Rattus norvegicus: one gene and its partners. The protein of the gene in region 2 interacts with the protein of the main gene of each other region in a pairwise test. Links are inferred from orthologs where the notes say so. Each region holds a gene or a part of one and is shown on either strand. Other genes may lie near its edges.

Region 1 (4,213 bases), on a different chromosome or scaffold from region 2:
AAGAAAACAAACAAACAAACGAGATTGGATTTCATTTAAAGGGGTGGGGGGGGAGAGGAGCAATTTAAACCAGAACAGCACAGTTTGATAATTATGGAAATTTACATCTACACACACTTGGACCTTCACTGCCTCATGCAAAGACTGCAGGGTTTACAGAAATTATAACTGCTGTCCTTAGAACGAGTTTATCAATCCTAATTACCAGCAGGACCATTGAATAGTCCTGATTTGTCACCTCCAGCGACCCCTACCGTCACTCCCCCATGGCAGTGAGGAAACCAAAGCTCAGATCAGCCTCGCAGTCACAGGTTCTACAGAGGCACACACACTGCCGAACCTGGTTATCCAACTCCGGCGCTCGCTGCCTCGCTCATTGTGTTCTGCTGGGCGGACAGCTATACAGTTAGGATGAGGCTTATTCATCTAAGTCAGCAGATTCCCAGGTCTCCTCTCAGCCTCAGAACTCCTTCAATCGCAACTGTACTCAGAACTCCAGTGAGTAAAGCGGACCAACACCTGAAGAGCTCAGGCTGAAGTGTGTGTGTGTGGTGTGTGTGTAGTGTGTGTATGTGTGTGTAGTGTGTGTGTAGTGTGTATGTGTGTGTAGTGTGTATGTGTGTGTAGTGTGTATGTGTGTGTAGTGTGTATGTGTGTGTAGTGTGTGTGGGTAGTGTGTGTGTGGTGTGTGTATGTGTGTAGAGTGTGTGTGTAGGAGCCCACTTGACTCCAGGATGGCTGTCTGAAGGCTCCTTGGATCATGGAGCTGTGAAGCCTCCCCTCCCCCAAACTCGACGAGCTACATATTAAGGCGGCCTTGTTTGTATAATGCATCTTTCATTTTCTTAGTTTCCCATCACATTGGACCCTCGTTATCGACTCTGAGGTGGACAAGGCAGGGCACGTCGTCCTTAATTTGCAGATGAGGAAATCAAGGCCAAATGGAGTGAAGTAATGAGCCAAAGGTAGGCCGGTTCAATTTCCGGCCAACTGCAGACTGGAAGTAGAGTCTGTCTCCACGAATTCAGTGTGACCTGGCAGGGAAGGGGCTATCTACTGGAAATTGCTGCTGACCTTTGATCCCGAAAGTGGACAATCAGCTACTTGGCCACTGAGAGAGCTGAGTGCAGCCCCAAGGTTCCCCGTGCCAAGGTGCTTGTCCTGGAGCAGATGGCAATGGGTGAGGCAAAGGAGCTCAGAGCCACTGAACGGACTCGCCACAGGATTCTGGATGGAGCAAGGCCGTTTGCATCGGAGCCTGGTCCTGCTGAGCACAGGGCAGGGGAGGTAGAAGCAGCCAGCATGCCTCCCGCCTTCATCTCCAGCAAGCAAAGGAGCTTGCATAGGGACTGCAGCACTACATTGCTTTTCACCTCAGCTATGCTTAGAGAGCCCTGAAACCAGAGGCGGCTGATGAATGCCGGGATGCACCCCGCCCCCTACACACACACTCCGGAGCATCTATGAACTGAGTTGGAGCATGTGTTGGGGGCAGACAACATTTAATTATCACTTAGGCTTTAATTAGCACTTAATTATTAACACTTAATCCATCTGTAAAATGGGGACACTAATACCTGTTTCATAGGGATGCCGGGAGGATTAATTAATGCGAGCAGCCCACTTTGGAGATGCAGAACCCTGAAAGAGTACTCTGCAGTGGCATTAATCACCACAGCTGATGCAGTCCTTTTCCTAATGAGATCCCTGTCTTCCTCTCTGCTCCTTCCTCTTCTTTCCAATAGCCAGCCCCAACGCTATCCCCTCAACTTTTCCCTAGCACTGAAACACTTAGCTCTGTGCTTCCCCGACAGGGGATTTCCCATCCGGGAAACCGGCTATTTACAGCCATCTTCCCACACTTTAATTTTCTATTATGTCCTCTGAATATGTCAATGCCTTCCCAGTAAATATTTTGATGTGCGCTCTTGCAGTAGCTCTGTGGATGCTGAATGGGACAGCTGCTCTCTGTATTAGGGGATTCCAGATGTGGTTTCCAACCACCAGAATCATCTGTGCCAATGCCTGGACTTTTCTTGGGATAGGGGAAAAGATCATCTAGTTGCTTCTGGGGACAGTCATGAGTCACCTAACCCTTAGATCTTCAGGGACCCCAGATCTACATCATAGCCACCTATGTCTTTAAAATAAGAAACTTCTCCTTAGTCACTGGAAAAGAAGCTGCCAGAAATGGCTTCTTTCCTTGCATCTGGGACTTCAGGACCTTGGCCAGCTCCTCCAACCGAAAGATTTTTCAGATTACAGAAACGGGGTTGAGGGTTGAGGCTTGGGGGAGAGATGTGTGTAGGACTTAACACTGGCCCAGAGCATTTCGACCTAAAGTCAGACTTCATTCCCCCCGCCTTTGATAATCAACCAAATAGGGGATTACTCACTCGTCTTGGAAGCTGACAGCGGCTGTCACCGGGGCAGAGAGCTTCTCCAGAGAGGTCCTGGGCTGCAGGGACTCAGGCAAGCCCTGAACTCTCTTCCAGATGTCATGGCAAATCTTGTCTAGGCTATCCTGGGGTGTGTCCTGGTGGATCCAGACATATCTGGGGAATGGCCCCAGGGCGGAGGGACGCTTGGCCACCAGGGCTGAGGATGGAGGGAGCCCATTTCCACTGGCCATCCTCTTTCTCTCTTTTCGGAAGCCCCTTTGTCCGCCCAGGGCTGGGAGACAAAGGGACTGTCCTCCACCAGCCCTCATTCACCAGAAAGGGAGCTGAAGACTGGACCTGGGAAGTAGTCAGTTCTGGCTGGCTGTTGCTCCAGCCAAGGGATGGGTTTCAGAGGCCTTCGGTTTGGGTGAGGATGAGGAGTAGAGGGCAACTTTCTTTTGGGGAGGGGGGGCTTATGTTGACTTCTTTTTATTTGCTCTTTCCTGGCTTTTGCCCCCCTCCCCCTCTCCCGTAGAAGAAAATATTTAAAAGTCAACAAAAACCAGTAACTTAGTAACCGTGGAATGCCCCGGAACTCAGGAACCAAGCGCCTGGGCGGGCAGAATGACATCTGGGAACGACTAGAGGGGAGGACTGGCTCTCCCCACAGGACCCGGCACTCCCCCGTTACGACACCCCTGTGAGACTTTTCAGGGTCTGGGACTCAGCCCATTCTCTCCTGCCAAGTCACCAGAAGGGCAGGGTAAAGGCCGAGCACTGTACTAGACTGGGTGGGTGCCGGCCATGGGACTGTCTCCTCCCACCTTCCCAAAGGATCCCGCGTACACAGAGGGCCCCCCACCCGCCTACTGCAGGTCCTGGCTTTAGCTCTCCCGGTCGCCCCCTTCTGCTTCCCCTTCTCTCTCTGCTGCAGCTGCTCTGCCTCCCTAAAAAAGAAATGTCCAATGCGGTATTGTGCCGGTAGTCGGCCTGGCCCAGGTCCTCAGCGGACACTTGTCGCGTCCCCCGCGCAGAGCTGCGACCCGCACCGCAGAGGATCCCAACCCTTAAAAGGCCGCCGATTGGGCAGGGCAGGCCCGGGCGGGGTCAGCGGATTTGCGTGTCAGTAGCTCCCACACCCCTGCCGTCGAGAGCTGGGATTCTTTCAGTGGGTTCAAGCGCAACGGCTGGGTGCGCGGGGGTGGGGCACGGGCCGGGCGTTCGTCCCTGAGACTCGCAGGTGGAATGGGGGCGGGGTGGGACTGGAAAGACCCCAGGGAGCTTCCTCTTAGAAGTAAGTCAAAGTGAAACACTGTTCCCATCCCACCACTACATACAAACTTCAGAGGTTGCCTAGAGGTGGGGGACCTGTCCCCTTTCCCCACTGGCTTTAATCCTAACTGCCATCCCACAGGAGCACCGAATGCCAAGAGCTAACTTTAAACCTGATCCTGTTCACCCTCATTAGTTTGTACTACTTTTTATTCGGCGGACACGATGGAAGGAAGCTGAATCTCTAAGTTGCAAATGGTTGTGTCCTGAGTTCAAGAAGCAAGGCTAGAATTCAAAGCTCGGACTCGACATGATCTAATGCCCTTGGCTCCCAAGCTAACCCCAACACTGAGACAGGGAGGCAGGCGGAGGTGGGAGAAAAAGTCGCACCCTTTGATATCGGTGCGGACTGCGATCGTCGCCCCTAAGCCCCTCCACATAGAAGCTTCACCTTTGAAAAAGCGTGAACTTGACGAGCATTCCCTGGTCCCCGAAAACAGTGGTTACTCCTCCAAGGGTCCACCCAGGGAAGAACCAGTAGGAGGTGGAGGAAGAAACAG
Region 2 (4,372 bases):
CTATCTCAATGTCGGTGTGATATACAGCTACAACTGCCTATAGGCCACGTGGATGTAACCCTCACTGGGAAGAATAGGCTCGATTCTAGAACAAAGTAGTATTTTAGATAAAATTAATTTTGAGAGAGAGGCTGTGTCCCTAGAGGTGTATCATGTGTGGGAGCATATGCCTGTGCTTGTAGAAGTCAGAGGCTGGTGTCCTTTATTACTTTCTACCATACATATATTTTGGAGACAGGGTCCAAATGAACTCAAGCTTGGTATTTTGGCTAGAAGACCGGACAGGAAGTCCCAGGGGTCTGTCTGTCACTGTCTCCCAGGCACTGGGTTACAGATGCATGCCACCACGTCCGGCTCTATGTGGGTGCTGGAAATTTGAACCCTGGTACTCATGCATGTACAGCAAGAAGTTCACACAGTGAATCAATCGTCTCCCCCACCCCACAGAGACAGAACGTTGGAAGACAAAGAAACATGCATAGGAGCCAAATTCAAATCCTCTTTTAAAGATCAATCAGGTATTTATTGACAGCAATTTAATCATAAAAACAGGTCTAGTGAAGGTGGGCCCCACACATATTTAGTACAGAATGTTTTTAGGAAAGGCAGTAGAAATCATGAAGTAGTCAATAAGACATATATCTTACCTAGACACAGAAGCTCACACACATAATTCTAGCACTTTGGAGGCTAACACAGGATTGCCACTGAGTCTGAAGTCAGCCAGTCTGGACTACACATTGAACTCTAGGCTCAGCTGGACTATAGTCTAAGATTCTGCTAAAAAAGGTGGGGGCGGGGGGGGGGACTGCTCTCTCCTCAGAGCCTCGATGTTTGGAAAGGAATGCACACCTCCAATTCCTCAATGCGCTGGGCCCAGTCAGTTCCTCAGGGTGCACAACAGGAAGCAAACCTGGGCTTTTTCCCTCCATTTAGAGATGCTACACAGACACACTTAAATCTTGACCTCACACAGAGGTGCTTATGGGAAAGTCAACTAACTATACTCTAGAAATACAAGGTTAGCGATTTGCATACTCCTTTAACAAAGTAGTGTTAAGCATGTACCACTGTATCTCTCCAGTAGGGCCCTTCATTCATTACTGGCTTGCTTCCTTTGTTAATGATGTGAGAGAAGAAAAAAGGAAGGTAGGTGTCTTGGTTAGGGTTCCTATTGCTATGGTGAGAAATCATGACCAAAGCAATCTGGAGAGGAAAGGGGTTCATTTGGCTTATTGCGTTTCCATATCAGGGTTCATCATTAAAGGAAGTCAAGAAAAGAACTCAAACGGGACAGGAACCTGAACGGAGAAGCTGATGCATGGAGAGGTGCTGCTTACTGACTTGCTCAGCCTGCTTTCTTATAGAATTCAGGACCACCAGCCCAGACTGGCAATACCCACAATGGGCTGGGCCCTCCCCTATCAATCAGTAAGGAAATGCCCTAAGGGCTTGTCTACAGCCTGATCTTAAAAAGGCATTTTCTCAATTAAGTTTCCCTCCTCTCTGAGGACTCTAGCTTGTGTCAAGTTGACATAGAACCAGCAAGTACAATAGGAAAAATATAACTTAATTATCCATATATATATATATATATATATATATATACACACATACATACTGCTAACAATTCTAAAAAATACAATATAATATCTTAAAGGTAACTTCATTTTAGGGAGCAAGGAGGTCAACGGTAAGCTCAACCAGGTAATTTTAGAAAGAAATCATTCTATTCCATTCATAACGGTGTCAAATTATTTAATAAGCCCACTGAAAGACACCTACATATTAGCCTAGATTGTTTACATGACTTGCCATACACGCATGCCCACACAAAAATCAAACTTACCAAATACATAATAACAAGTGCATTATTTAAAAACACCAATTCTATAGGTGTTGTTTAGTTTATGGAACCTTAGATGCTCCGAAGTTCCATTCCACGCACTACAAAAGCGCGTGCCATGACAAAGACCTCCAACACGAATATACAAAGAACCGCTTCTTAAAAAACGCCCCTACAGCCAAGTTCGCAGATGGCACTTGTGGCACACTCAAGACACTGCCGAGGCAGCTGTCACAGGCCAATCACACACACCCAAGAGTGCCAGCGTGACACCTCAAGGAGGCAGGCTGATGGTCAGCTCAGGGGTGTTCCCGGAATAAAGAAAACCCTAAACACTCGCTCCCGAAAGCACAATGCCTGATCGACTCCCCAAACTCCCTTTAGAAAGTGAAAGGGTGGATGCTGCAAAGCAATTCCTTAGCAGTTTATACCCGGGGTAAGAGAGGGGTTTGTGTGGCACCGGGGAGAAGGGAGCCGGGCGGTGCAGTCATCAGGTCTCCACCAGCAGCAAGAGGGGGCGGCTCTTCAGCCCCAGCCCCAGCCCCAGCCCCAGCCCCAGCCCCAGCCCCAGCCCCAGCCCCAGCCCCAGCCCCAGCCCCAAAGCCCCAGCCCCAACCCCAACCCCAGCCCCAGCCCCAGCCCCAGCCCCAGCCCCAGCCCCAGCCCCGCTGCCGGGCCTCTCCCCCAGCCCCCGCCCCGGGTCACCGCCTCCCGACGCGGCCCGCGTCCGCTGCGCTCCTACCTTCGCCTTGCCAGCTGCCAGCTTCCTTTGCCTCTCCTCGTCCTCCATGGCGTCTGCAGGGTAGGCTGGGACGCAGTGGAGAGGAAAGATCTGTTTAGAAAGAGGCGGACAGAGCTCGGCGGCCACTCGGGACACGCTAGGCGCTCACCGGCGACTCGCGCCAGGCTGCACGGGCCCCGCGGTCACCGCCGCCATCTTCGTCTCCACGTAAACACACGGCGGCCGGCGGGGCGGAGCGGGCGGTCGGCGCAGCCGCGAGCGTGGCCCGGCAGGTGCTTGTGCCCGCCCGGCTGGACCGGGTCGGAGGGCTCAGGGTCCGGCGGCCTGACACCCACTCCTCCCGGGATTCAGTTCGCGTAACACGCCGTACTGCATTTCCAAATGCAAAAGCAACAGCGGCCTCATAACGAGAAGCCGCAGTGGAAGGGGCGAGGGCGGGACCCCCAACCCGGGGAAGCCGGAGGGCCCCCTGCTCTTTCCCTAACCCCAAATCCCGCCCTCACTTCCCCCTCTTGTTCCCTCTCAACCCATAGTCTTCATCCTTCGCGGCGCGCTGGAAGAACAGTCTATTGCCAAAGCCTTCTCCCAACTCTTTGTTCTTTGGAGTGAAGCTGAGACACTCCTAGGGGCTTCTCCTAAGGAACTCGAATTTGGAATCTAAGTTGGGAACAAAGCCAGTCTACCCCAACTTTCCCTCCCCCCCCCCACCTCCCATTCATTCATTTATTCACTTTACATCCTGACCTCAACCCCCCTCTCCTCCCAGCCCCCCTTCACCATGACCCCTCCAGATTTACCCCTCTCCCCTTCACCTCTGAGGTAGACATTGCCTCAGAGTAAAGAGCTAGAAAAAGGGTTTCCAAGCAAAAGGGGCTACGCTAACTTTGTAACATTAATGACCTTAAAACAGATATGCTTCTCTGACTTTACCTGGAGTTTTTGGACGAGCTGTTTAATATTTATGACTGTTCTGGTGTGTGAAAACGCCCGAACCTTTGTCCTTTCTATTTCTTTACTTGAAATGGCTAGTGTGAAAGACTATGCTCAATAAACTTTGTTACATTTAATTGGGCTGTGCTTATAGTTTGATTATTACCATCTTTCCTCCCCCATGGACATTTGATACCTGTTCAATCGTGTCTCCATGTCATTTATTCACAAATTCAAACAAAAGGAAAAGTATATTGATTTGTATACCTCCTTTTATAGAATAAGAAACAAGGCTTGAGTGGTTAAATCACTTGACAAATTTCCATGGATGGGTAAGGAAAGGTGCTGATGTCAAGCCCTCAAATTTGAGTCTTTTTCCTTTAGCTGGGCTATGGTCTCCGAACAACAAAATTAGCATCAGGATTTACACCGGCTCTTTTGTGTGTAGTTTGACTGCAAATGTCCATGTATGTTTACACATGTGGAAGTCATGCATTCATGTGCTTCTGGGGGGTGGAGGGTGGCATGAAGTCTTCCTTGGTCACTTTTAAAAAGTATATTGAGGTAGGGGTCCCTTGCTGGACTAAGACCTTGACAAATTAGCTAATCTAGCTAGCTAGCCTGCTTCACAGGTCCTACCCATCTCTGTCTCTTGAGCTTGCGGGGCACACGTTGCTGTGCCTGTTCAGCATTAGCGTGCCCAGGATGCAAACTCTGTTCCTCACACGTGTGGGGCAGTCCCTTTCCCTACTGAGCCATCCCTGCAGCCCCAACAGTGGGGTTTTAAAGGACTAAGTATATATGTATAAAATGTGTTCAATAAAGTAAGTTTCGAAATGAAAAGTCCTTTGAAA
Region 3 (3,595 bases), on a different chromosome or scaffold from region 2:
ACAACACACAAACAAGCAACCTCCTTCCCTAAACCCACAGTCGAATTAAAGGCTTTAGTGTGAAAGGCAAGTTAGCAGAGCGTCCAGGAGGGCCTCTGACAGGATTAGGAGCAAGCCCTCCCCTCCCTCTTTCCTGCTGCCCTCTCCTGGTTTCAGCTGAGGTCAGCACCGTGCTCAAGCTGGACAACACTGTGGTGGGGCAAACAGCCTGGAAGCCATGCGGCCCCAATGCCTGGGACCAGAGCTTCACCCTGGAGCTGGAGAGGGTGAGCTGTGCATGGGGGCACCGGGCAGTAGAAGAAGGGGAGTTGAGGCATCAGACACAGGAAGTGATGACCGTTTTTCCTCAAGGCTCGGGAGCTGGAGTTGGCTGTGTTCTGGCGTGACCAGAGGGGTCTGTGTGCTCTCAAATTTCTGAAGTTGGAAGACTTCTTGGACAATGAGAGGCATGAGGTGCAGCTGGACATGGAACCCCAGGGCTGCCTGGTGGCTGAGGTATGGCCTGGTTTCTGACTTCTGACCCTAAGATGTTTCCTGCCTCCTTGCCTCTGATTGTCTAGTATGGGGGAGATTAATTTCAGATGCTTCTGAGCCTTAATGGGAAGTAAGTTTCATGAAAGCTGGGATTGGTGCCAGGAGCCACACATCACACAGGAGGAAGAACCAGCAGTGACAGACCACATACGTGACAGTGCTCCCAGAAGGCTGTGCCTGTCAGTTGTGTGTTGGTCTGGTGATAGGTAGGGCCCAATGGGTAAAGTGCTAGCCTAGCATGCACAAAGCCATGGGCCAAATTGTTACTTCAGATAAAACTAGGCGTGGGTACTGGAGAGATGGCTCAGCAATTAAGAGCACTGTCTGCTCTTCCCAGAGGACCCATATTTGATTCTCAGCTCCTACATGGCCACTTAGAGCTGTCTGTAACTCCAGTTCTGGGGGATCTGACACCCTCTTTTGGCCTCAGTCACTAGGTTCACATGTATTACACAGATATACATGAAGGCAAAACACCCACATACATTAAGCAAGCAAACATGAAAGCTAGATGTCATACAGCCTTAAGCCACATGATGAGCAAGAGACAGGAATATAAAGACTTACCAAAAAACACAGCCAAAGCTGAGTGAGCTTTAATCCCACAGTGTGGGAGCAGAGGCAAGCAGACTTCTGAGTTTGTGTCCCAGGCCAGTCAGGTCTATAGAGAGCCCCTGTCTGAAAAATAGAAGAACAAGCCAGGAACATTTTCTGCCACTGCAGTCTAGTGAGGCCTGCCTCAGAAAAGCAAGCACTGGGTGAGCCTTGTGTGGTGTGCTGGGCTCACGCCCTCAAAGTTTCATCCCCAGCATCGCACGGCAGCAACAACCAACCCAACTGGAGGTGGGTGCTGGTGGGAACCTCACAGCAAGGGGTGGCTGCAGCTGACAGACTCTCCCAGAGTGCTGTTGTCACTGAGCCCACCATGTCGAGTTCTACCATGGATAGAATGTTCTGTCTGAACTGTAGCTGGTGTAGCTGGAAAGCAGAGTTTTTCCCACTGACGTTTTGAGTGATTTAAATTTGATCTGCACACATGGCACCTGCACAGGAACATCTGGGTCTAGAGACCAGCGCCTGCTGAGTTGGACTTGGAGGACTAGGCTAAGTTATCCTGGGATTCGCACATGGGCAGCCCCATCACCCCCAAAGGGCCAGGTTCCATCCCTCTTGGCGCTGATGCAGTCTGAGATAGGGGTCTGAGAGTGTATCTCTCAGGTCCCAGGTAAGCAAAGCATCTTTCTGTCACTGTGACAAATGCCTGAAATAATCAGAAAGAGAAAGGGTTATTTTGGCCCAGGGGCTCTGCCCATGGCCCCTTAGTTCAAGTGGAGGAGGCATGTGTACCCAACGGAATACAGAAGCAAAGAGAGACACAGGAAGGGGCTAGGCTCCCAATATCCTGTATGTGGACGTACTCCAGTGACCTCACTTCCTCCCACTAGGACCTGCCTCTAATGGTCACACCACCTCCTAAATAGAGCCATAGGTTTGTGACAAAGTCTTCCATACACAGGGCCAATTTAACAGCCATGCCAGATGATGCCATTGTGGCCAACCTGCCACTATACTTGGGAATCAAGTCAGGTGATGGCAGACTTGTTTTCCAGACTTCCATGTCAGTCTTGTGGGCATAGATGACTCCTTTCCCTTCAGAGAAGGGTCTGATTGCCTGCGTCCTCCCTTTTCAAGATGGAAGCCTGTCTCGGTTTGAATATGAAGGTTCCTGTCTTAGGTGTTTTTCCTGCGACTGTAGTAAAGTTCCCTAGCAAAAGTTTTAAGGAAAAGAGGGTTTCTTTTGGCTCAGAGTCCACCGTGAAGGGCAAGTCAAGCAGTCACACTGCATAGGAAGTGAGGTCAGGAAGCAGAGTGGTGAATGCCTGGTGCTCAACTTGCTTTCTCCTGTCCATACTGTCCAGGACCCCCGCCTAGGGAAAGGTGCCTCTCATAGCTTTGGTGGGTCTTCCCCAACAGACATGACTACCATAGGTAATCCCTCACAAGTGTGCCGAGAGGCTGGTCTAGGTTATTCTAGTCAACTTGACAACCAACTTTAACTATTTCAGTCCCCATGAAGACGCCTGTGTTTGAACACTTGTCCCCAGCTGGTGCTCTTTTGAGAGGTAATAGAACTCCGAGGAGGTGGAGCCTCACTGAGAGAAATGTCACTAGGGTTATCGTTAGGCCCTAGTCCTGCTGCTTTCTGTTCTTTGGCCATCTGAGATGTACCTGGGCTTCAGTCGTCTGCCACTGTGGACCCCACTGCCGGTGCTGCCGTGTCCTCCTTCTGTGACGGACTATATCCCCTCAGCTATGCCCAGCTTAGAGCTCCCCCTGCAGTTGTTTCTGTCAGGTCCTCTGTCACAGTGAGGAGAACACAGACAGCACTGAGGGCAGACAGTGAGCGCGCTGACCACCTCTCCCTGCTCACCAGCACTCTGTTACGTGACAAAATACTTGGGAGAGATAAAGGAAGCAGGGTTCTCTGGGTTCATGGTTTCCAGGCAGCAGCCGTTCATCCTGTTGCTTCTGGGCTTGTGATGAAGCACTCTGTGGAGTCGAGCTGCTCATGTGCTGACAGGAGACAGAAGGAGGATGAGGGAGTAGGTCTGGCAGCTAGAGACCTGCTTCTTTTAATGACACCCCTCCTTGTGAAGTCCCCTGCTCCCCAACGGTCTATCAAGCTCTGAAGCCATCACTGGGTGAATCCATGAGTGAAGTCCTTGACCCTTCTGTGCATAGCCACTGTCAAAGGCTTAGCTTTGCACGGCTGCTAGGCCAAGCCACGCGTCCTCAGGGACGCTTGGTGTCATAGGTTGTGGTGCATCTGTTCCTGCCACCACTGCAGCTGAGCATGTCCCCACAGGTCACCTTCCGTAACCCCATCATCGAGCGGATCCCTAGGCTCCAAAGGCAGAAAAAAATTTTCTCCAAGCAGCAAGGTAAGGAGGCCCTGAGTGAGCTGGGCTGGACAGCCAAGGACCCCAGGATGTCATGGGTGGTGACCCTACCCTTGCAACTTCAGGGCAGACATTTCAGCGTGCCAGACAGATGAACATCG

Evidence for each region.
Region 1: the proteins of Akap9 (region 2) and C5h1orf94 interact in binary tests that used the Homo sapiens proteins (3 or more experiments, as listed by UniProt). The two-hybrid records come from large-scale screens. The link is inferred for Rattus norvegicus from reciprocal best matches to the Homo sapiens genes AKAP9 and C1orf94.
Region 3: the proteins of Akap9 (region 2) and Pkn1 interact in a two-hybrid assay, tested with the Homo sapiens proteins (2 studies listed by BioGRID). The link is inferred for Rattus norvegicus from reciprocal best matches to the Homo sapiens genes AKAP9 and PKN1.

Annotation. Positions count from the first base shown.
Region 1 is NC_086023.1:145,607,438-145,611,650, forward strand, and holds the start of C5h1orf94 (uncharacterized protein C1orf94 homolog), read right to left. Parts: upstream 2,858-4,213; 5' UTR 2,711-2,857; coding exon 2,397-2,710; intron 1-2,396.
Region 2 is NC_086022.1:31,144,454-31,148,825, forward strand, and holds the start of Akap9 (A-kinase anchor protein 9), read right to left. Parts: upstream 2,886-4,372; 5' UTR 2,637-2,885; coding exon 2,589-2,636; intron 1,969-2,588; exon of another isoform or gene 1-1,968. UniProt on the Homo sapiens protein: Scaffolding protein that assembles several protein kinases and phosphatases on the centrosome and Golgi apparatus. Required to maintain the integrity of the Golgi apparatus. Required for microtubule nucleation at the cis-side of the Golgi apparatus.
Region 3 is NC_086037.1:41,363,779-41,367,373, forward strand, and holds part of Pkn1 (serine/threonine-protein kinase N1), read left to right. Parts: intron 1-156; coding exon 157-266; intron 267-351; coding exon 352-495; intron 496-3,400; coding exon 3,401-3,476; intron 3,477-3,559; coding exon 3,560-3,595. UniProt on the Homo sapiens protein: PKC-related serine/threonine-protein kinase involved in various processes such as regulation of the intermediate filaments of the actin cytoskeleton, cell migration, tumor cell invasion and transcription regulation.